Ovis aries: one gene and its partner. The protein of the gene in region 2 interacts with the protein of the main gene of each other region in a pairwise test. Links are inferred from orthologs where the notes say so. Each region holds a gene or a part of one and is shown on either strand. Other genes may lie near its edges.

Evidence for each region.
Region 1: the proteins of DMRTB1 (region 2) and EXOSC5 interact in a two-hybrid assay, tested with the Homo sapiens proteins (2 studies listed by BioGRID). The link is inferred for Ovis aries from reciprocal best matches to the Homo sapiens genes DMRTB1 and EXOSC5.

Annotation. Positions count from the first base shown.
Region 1 is NC_056067.1:50,089,594-50,093,071, forward strand, and holds part of EXOSC5 (exosome complex component RRP46), read right to left. Parts: intron 1,636-3,478; coding exon 1,522-1,635; intron 1,027-1,521; coding exon 905-1,026; intron 1-904. UniProt on the Homo sapiens protein: Non-catalytic component of the RNA exosome complex which has 3'->5' exoribonuclease activity and participates in a multitude of cellular RNA processing and degradation events.
Region 2 is NC_056054.1:27,981,396-27,985,751, reverse strand, and holds the start of DMRTB1 (doublesex- and mab-3-related transcription factor B1), read right to left. Parts: upstream 2,802-4,356; 5' UTR 2,481-2,801; coding exon 1,895-2,480; intron 288-1,894; coding exon 82-287; intron 1-81.

The DNA of each region.
Region 1 (3,478 bases), on a different chromosome or scaffold from region 2:
CAGGTATGCACCTTCGGGGAAACAAAGGTCAGAAGCCTTTCAAGATAAAACAAGGAGGCAGTGGCAGAGCCAGGCCTGGGGCTGGGGAATCGAGCAAGCAGTGCTACCGGGTGGCAGGCTGGCAGGATGACGGAGGGAGGAGTCAGTGTCCTCAGGGAGCCCGCAGTCCAGGGGAGAGGTGCGGCCCTGGCCCTGTGCAGGGTGAGCACAGGCCTGAGTCAGCCAGCCAGCCCCAGCTCAGTTTCCTCTCCTCCCCAGGGCCCAGCTTTACAGTCAGCCAGCCCCACCTCTGCCACTGACCCTCCGTTATCTCCCATCTGTGAAATGGGTTCACAGTGCGCCTCTTCCCCCATCTGTGAAGTATCTGCCCAGTGCAGGGCCATACCCACGCACAAAGCTGTCTAGAAATGCCCATTTCTGGGCCTCTGCCTCTCGCACCCAAACCGCGGCCACATTCCAAGGCTGAGCTGCTGAACCAAAGGCTCTGCCTGCTCAGGGCTCCTGCCCTGTTGAGCCTCAAATCCAAGCTCAGGGTCAGAAATGAGGTCAATGGCACAGGCTCTGGAGTCAGATGGGCCTGTGTGTGAATTCAGCCTCTGCTGCCTTCCAGCTGTGTGACCTTGGGTAAGCGACCTCTCCTCTCGTGGCCTTGGTTTCCTCACCTGAAACATGAGAACAGGACCCAGCTGCTAGGGGCCTTGAGCTCTAGAGCCACATGGCTTGGGCTCATGTCCTGGCATTGCCAGTTACTAGAAGTGTGAGTTGTCCACACTGTATAAATTGCCTGACACACAGTAAACACTCAAGCTGTGTTTGCTGTTCCTACAAGTTGACATCTGTCAAGCGTGTACATGGCCATCGGCAATCAGTGAGATTCTGGAGGACTTCCTGGAGGAAAGGATACAGAGCCAGCATCGCTGACGACCTGCAGCACCACAGTTATGGAGGTGCGGGGGTGCAGCGCTCCCAGTACCACCGCTTCACATGTGTTTCTGATCAGCCGCTCCCGGCTCTTCTCCGCTACGCCTGCGGAAATCAGGGATGGGGTTGGGCTGTCAGGCTCTCCCTGTCCAGCTGGCTCACCTGTCTCCATGTGCCCCACCCAAGCCTCCAGAAAAAAGGGATGACAAAGGAGTCCTAGTGGGAGGGAGGCAGGGCCTGACTGCCACCCACTTGATGCCCGCCACCTCCAGCACCCACCAAGGGAGCCTCCCGGGGGAGGAGAACCTCAGAGCTCTCCCATGTCCAGTGCTGCTGTCCATTCCCATCGCAGTGCACCCAGCCCTGGGGAGTGAGGGGGGCAGAGAGTAAAAGCGTGGAAAAACAGATTAATGGAAAGGAGGAGAGATGGAGCCAGGAAAGAAGGAGGGAGCGGGGAGAGAAGATGGAGAGAGACAGGGAGAAAAGTGATAAGAGACGTACAGGCAGAGAGCTAGAGAAAAAGAAACAGTTGAGGGGAGCTGAGAGGAGTGAAGACCAGAAAGGGCAGTGATGGGGACACCGGGCAAGAGGACCAGTTACCAGGCAGTCCAGTTTTCGGCCTCAGGATCACTTCCAGCGTGGCCTTGTTGAAGATCTCTTTGCTGATCTTCACCTCGGCTGGCCCATACACGCCGGCCAGGACGGAGGTATCCCCTGGGGAGAAAGCATGGGCGAGCTCACCTGCATCTTCCCTGCCTCTGGGGTCTGACACGAGGAACTTAACATTGTGGGCCCTGAGCTGGGTGGCCAGGGGTCCCCACGTCACCCTCACTCTGGCCCACCCCTTGTTGGCAGCGATTCCTTGAGCATTTGCTTCATGTCTCTGCTTCTACTTCCTCATCTGTAAAATGAGGATAACTACAGTACGTCCCTGGGACTTTCCTGGTGGTCCACTGGCTAAGACTGAGCTCCCAGTGCAGAGGGCCTGGGTTCAACCCCTGGTCAGGGAACTAGATCCCACAAGCTACAGCTAAGAGTTTGCATGCTGGGACTAAGACCCAGTGCAGACAAAAAAAAAAACAAAAAAGCAAACACCTATAGGACATCCTTCACAGCTATGAGGATTAAATTAGATAAAAAGAGAAACACTTAGGATGCTGCCTGCTAAGTTGCTGAGTGCCCAAAGGACTTTAGCTACTATTACTAACTTTAACAGGAAGTTCTTCCTGAGTGCTAACCCTCCTTCTTACTGCTGCTGGTCCCAACTTCTCCTTCCAAAGCTCCCCCGAGGCCGAGTTCTCTTCCCTCTAGCTCACGTCCCCAAACTCTGTAGCAGTCAGGACACCTGAGAAACGGATGAATATCTAGGGCTGGCTCCTGACACCTGCTTATTTCCTCCTGGCTCTGTAATCTCAGCTGATTTTGCTTACTTCTCTGGGCCTCAGTTTTCCCATCAGCAAAATGGGTAGACTGGACTACAAGAGCAGTTTCCAAACATTCCTGATCCTAACTCCCTGTAAGAAATACATTTTAGACTCAAATACACTTCAGGACCCAAAACTCACACAAATCTGTGTGGATATAAATGGAATGAACGCCTCCCAAAACAACTCTTTACTGTTACTGCTTTGACGTACTCGGAGATTTTCTACTATATTTCAGTTACAAAGAACCATTAAAGGGGACTTGCCTGGTGGTCCAGTGGTTAAGAATCCACCTTCCAATACAGGGGATGCTGGTTCGATCCCCGATCAGGCAACTAAGCCTGTACATGCCGTGGAGGAACTAAGTCCATGCACCACAGCTAACACCTGACCTGACCAAAGAACAGAAATAAGATGGAAACAAAAACAAAAACCCACTAGTGAACACAGTGGTTCTCAACCCCGTATGCACACTGGGCTTACTGCAGAACTTTGAAAGATCTAGATGCCCAGGCCCCTCCTCTAGAGAGCCTTAATCCCATTGCTGGGGGCTGAGGCTAAGGCACTGGGAGCCTCAGAGCTCCAACAGGCCATTCTAATGTGCAGCTGGACCTGCAACCTGCAGTGGGAAGACATGGAGCTCCAGCACGGTTTCAAAACACAGGCCTGCAACCAGAATCGCTACAGCAGATCATTTAAAAATACAGAGGGCTGGCATCCCTGGGTTGGGAAGATCCTCTCGAGGAGGAAATGGCAACCTGTTCTAGTATTCTTGCTGGGATAATCCTATGGGCAGAGAAGCCTGGCTGACACGACTGAGCAACTAATCAATAAGGACAAAGAGGGCTAGCCTTAGTTGGCATAGGTGGGTTCTGGGGCTTGGCATTTTTAACCTCACTGGAGAGTCTAGTGAGGGTTTGCAGAGGACCCTGCTCCAGGGTCCTGGGCTTTGGGGTTTTAGAACATACAAGGGGCTCAGTATTTCTTTCTTTTTTAGAACACACAAGGGGCTCAGTATTTCTTAAATTCTAAGAACCTCCAGGCACCTGCACTGAGCAAGAGATCTAAGCCTGGAGAGGTCCCTGGCAGAGGCTTTTTTGTTCTGGGGCTGGCGAGGAAGAGCTGCTATACAA
Region 2 (4,356 bases):
CTGCCTGGGAGAAAGTCTGTTAAAGCAGCCAGGGCAGCTGAAATAGGGAGGAACTTCGAAAATATCAGGAATGGGACTCACCAAGCCTCCTCCATAGTAGTGGCTATAGGACAGGTGCTGGAAACTCTGCTGCAGAGGGATCCCCACACTTGGGGACGCATCCTGGTAGCCCAGAGGAAAAGGGCGGTAGGGGTGCATGCTGGAGCAGCTGGGGTACAGCTTGGGAGGTTCTCTCTCCAGGCACTCAGACCCCACCACAGAATCTGAGTTGATGCTCAGAGGGAGCCCTGAAAAGACATGCAACGAGGGAAGTGTTAAAAACACATGGAGCTAGAAAAAAGGGCACCATATTATCGTCTGAAGGTAGCAGTATAAATAAACACTCATATCCATTCACAGACAACTCCCATATCCATTATGCTTTTGATCCTCCCTGCTTTTTAAACCCTTCAACCATGTTCTGTTGCCCTCAGCAAAAGTCCTTGGCCCAGCCATGAAGCCCACGCAGACTGCATTCCTGCCTTCACTCCAGCCTCACTGTCTGATCACTAGTAGCGCCTTCTTTCTCCTCCACCTCAGGGCCTCTGCAGATGCTGTCCCCTCTGCTTGGAAGGCTTTTTTTCCTAACTCCACTTGCCTTCTTGAATCCTCAGTGCTCAGCTCCTGATCTTCCTTCAGACCACAGCTAAACCACTGGTTATTAGAGTTCTCTGTGATGTCCTTTTCTTTCACAAGGACAAGATCCTTGAGGGCAAGGAATCTGACTCACCCCTCTTCACCTTTTCATCACTAGTGCTGGGCACACAGTGCTCAGTTGATGGAACAAAGAAAGGCTCCATATCCGTAGAAAGGTATCCTTCTCCTAGAACTGCTTTTCAGATCTGTCTTCCTCATCTAGTTCTCTAGGGACCTATATTTTCCTAGAACGTCCCAGAAGGCAGAACTGGCCTTCGGAGAGCATCAAGCCAATCCCCTTAGCCTACAGAGGGGCGAGGCTGTCACAGAAGGAAGGAACTTGCCTTAGATTACCAAGTGAGCAGCCCCTCAGCGTCCTGACTCAGACTTGCGCTCTTTCTACCACACTGCCATAGAGAAAACCAGAAAACACGTGTCTGCACCCAAAATGAGCCCCTTTTTAAAAGTCTCAAACCTACATGTGACTTGAAATTATAATAGTGAAAGTTACAATACCTAGGGAACAATGTAATTTATGCATGTGGAGGGAGGAGAGAAAAACAGCAACCACGTCTCAATAGACTGTTCTCTTGTAGGGAGCAGAAAAGAGGTCTCATTCCCATCCATGCCTGGGAAACAGGTGGGAAGAACGCCCATACACAGCCATTGGGCCAGAGCACGGCTGAGGAGCAAGCTGACTAGGGCACAGAAGATGGGGGAGGGGTGGGCGGAGGGACGCAGGTGCAGTCATAAGGCGCTGGCCCACCCACGAGGACGTTCTGGGGGAGGAGCCTCCAGCACCAGAAAAGGGTGGGAAGAGTTGCGCAAGCGCAATATGGCCACTCTCCCGCGATCCCCTCTGTTGGGAGGAGGAGCCTCAGCTAAGCAGACTGGGGGGCCATTTTTTTTGTGTGTGTGCGGCCATTTTTTTTTTCTCCCGGAATGGGAAAGCAGAGACTATAGCTAAATGTTTTTTAAAATTACCCCCTCAGAACCACCCATTCCTTTCTCTCTTTTTACCTTCTTGCAAAAAGGCACCAAACCCAAATGCCTACTCAGAAAAAGGTATCCCGAAGCAAGATTCCCTCTAGAAAGCATCTTCCCACCCCCACCCCAAGGGCCCATACGCGCGGCTGGCCTGGGACGCCAGAGTGAGGGAAGTGGGGAGGCGGAGAGGAACCAACAGCGGGACAAAGGCTCAGGGCACCGGGAATCTTACCGAAGTCGGTGAACGGCGGGCTCGGCACAGGCCGCGGCAGCCTGCGCAGCTCCAGGCAGCCGGGGTAGCCCCGGCCGGCGGCCTCCGCCGTCAGCTGGGGCTCCAGAGAGCTGGGCCTGGCCCTGGCTGCTTGTTCGCTCAGGCCCACGTGGCCGCGGTTGTGGCCGCCCAGAACTGGCTGGAAGGCACTCGGGCTGGGGCTCTGGCCCCGCGGGGGCCTCTCAGGGAGGCAGGCGGCCGCTTGGCCCGAAGGGCCCGGCTGCGCGTCTCCCAAAGGGGCAAGCGGAAGCAGCGGGCAGAAGCTTGGGCCTGGGGTGGCGGCCGCGCCCCCGGGGGCCAGCTGGGGTCCCTGTGCGCACAGGGCCACCTCCTGCTCCTCTCCAGAGGCCTGCTTCTTGAGCATCTTTTGTGCAGCCACGATCTTCTGGCGCTCGGTGATCAAGTAGCACTTCTCGCAGGTGCACTGCTTCCAGCGGCACTTGCCCGCGTGGCCCTTGACTGGTACCAGGAAGCCATGGTTCCGGCACCGCGAGCACTTGGGGGTACGAAGCATCTTCTTGGCCTGCTTTGTAAGGTCTGCATTCATAGCACAACCGTCTCCTCTGAAAGCTTCAGGGACAGTGAAACAGAGAGAAGCAGTCCGCCCAAGTCCCTGGTGCTGGGAGCTTTGGATACACTTGTAACAAGGTGGTGTTCAGTGCGTCCCAGGAGCTGCAGCAAGACCCTTGCATTCTCTCTTTTCTTTGGTGCAAAATTTGGAGAGGTTCTGTGCCTTGGTTAACAAGATGCAAAGGATTGGGTTGAATAAGTTCTTCAAGTAATGCTATTGCATGTATGTCATCTGGGTTAGCTGAGTCTTATGCATGTAATTTCCAAACTTTCTCTTCCTGCCGTACGGTATACAGAAGGTATTTCATGATTAAAAAAAAAAAAAAAAAAAAGGCGGAGTGATACTCAAGGATTCACAGATTCAAAACTCCAGAGGAACGCAGCTGTTGGTAAACCTGTTGCAGTAGAAAAGGATTCCAAGTGTCAAACCGTGTTTCTCCATACAGAAGCTGCTGCTTCTGTTTAATTTCACTTTTTTCCCCTACAGAGAAGCAACTGTTCACAGTGATGCTTCCAGAATATTCTCAGGAGCTCAGTGCGGTGTGATGGTTGCTCAAGGGTGTGCCTTTAGAGTAATTACCATTTTTAAAGTCTAGTTGGTATAGGAATGCATCTCTGGAAGTGGCATATTGCAGTTGATGCCTTCCAAAGAAAAGCATACTTAGAATGATTTAAAGTAAAAGGGACTTAGGATATTTTAGCATGAGCTTGAACCAGTACTTAATTGTGCCATGAATTCAGTTATTCCTGTAAAGCAACCCAAATCTTGGGACACCTGCAAAGCTGCCATAACTTCATAGTTTTCCCAAGACTGCTAAGCTAATTCATTTTCTTGTTTGATAGAAATTCGTGACACCCTGATGTCTCCCCCCCCCACTCCCCCGCTTAGGTCCCAAAAAGAAAGAAAGGAAAAAACAAACAAACAAACGTCATCATAGGATTAATCATTACCTTTAAGGGGGTTCAGTTCAGTTCAGTTTAGTCGCTCAGTCGTGTCCGACTCTTTGCGACCCCATGAATCACAGTATGCCAGGCCTCCCTGTCCATCACCATCTCCCGGAGTTCACTCAGACTCATGTCCATCGAGTCAGTGATGCCATCCAGCCATCTCATCCTCTGTCGTCCCCTTCTCCTCCTGCCCCCAATCCCTCCCAGCATCAGAGTCTTTTCCAATGAGTCAACTCTTCGCATGAGGTGGCCAAAGTACTGGAATTTCAGCTTTAGCATCATTCCTTCCAAAGAAATCCCAGGGCTGATCTCCTTCAGAATGGACTGGCTGGATCTCCTTGCAGTCCAAGGGACTCTCAAGAGTCTTCTCCAACACCACAGTTCAAACGCATCAATTCTTTGGCGCTCAGCCTTCTTCACAGTCCAACTCTCACATCCATACAAATACCTGGCTAAAATGTGTATTTTTTAATTGTCCTTTCGCTGAAGTTTTCCGTACCTGGTAACAGAATGGTAGAAGTGAGAGCCAAGGCCTGGTGTTCACCTTGATCTTCCTGAGCCGCTGGTTGCAGGTGTACTTTGCATTTCTCACCAACTACCTGACAATAGGAAATGGTTGCCATTCTGAGGCTGATTATATACTGGAAAGCTGAAAAGATGTTTGTAAAGTTTTTTTCCTGCTTTGAAGAAATATATTACTCATCTTAAGAGGGCAGAAGTATATGTTTCCTGTATAATTTGACCCTTTAAGAATGTCACTGTTATTTCAATCCGTTTAAAGAGATCTAGGTTTGTCTCTGCTTTGCTCTAACAGCCTGTATCTTAATTTTTTATTTAAAAAATATGGTCCCATAAATGAAAGCACAGACAAGTTCTTTTTCTGACTTCACTTAATTCAGAATGTC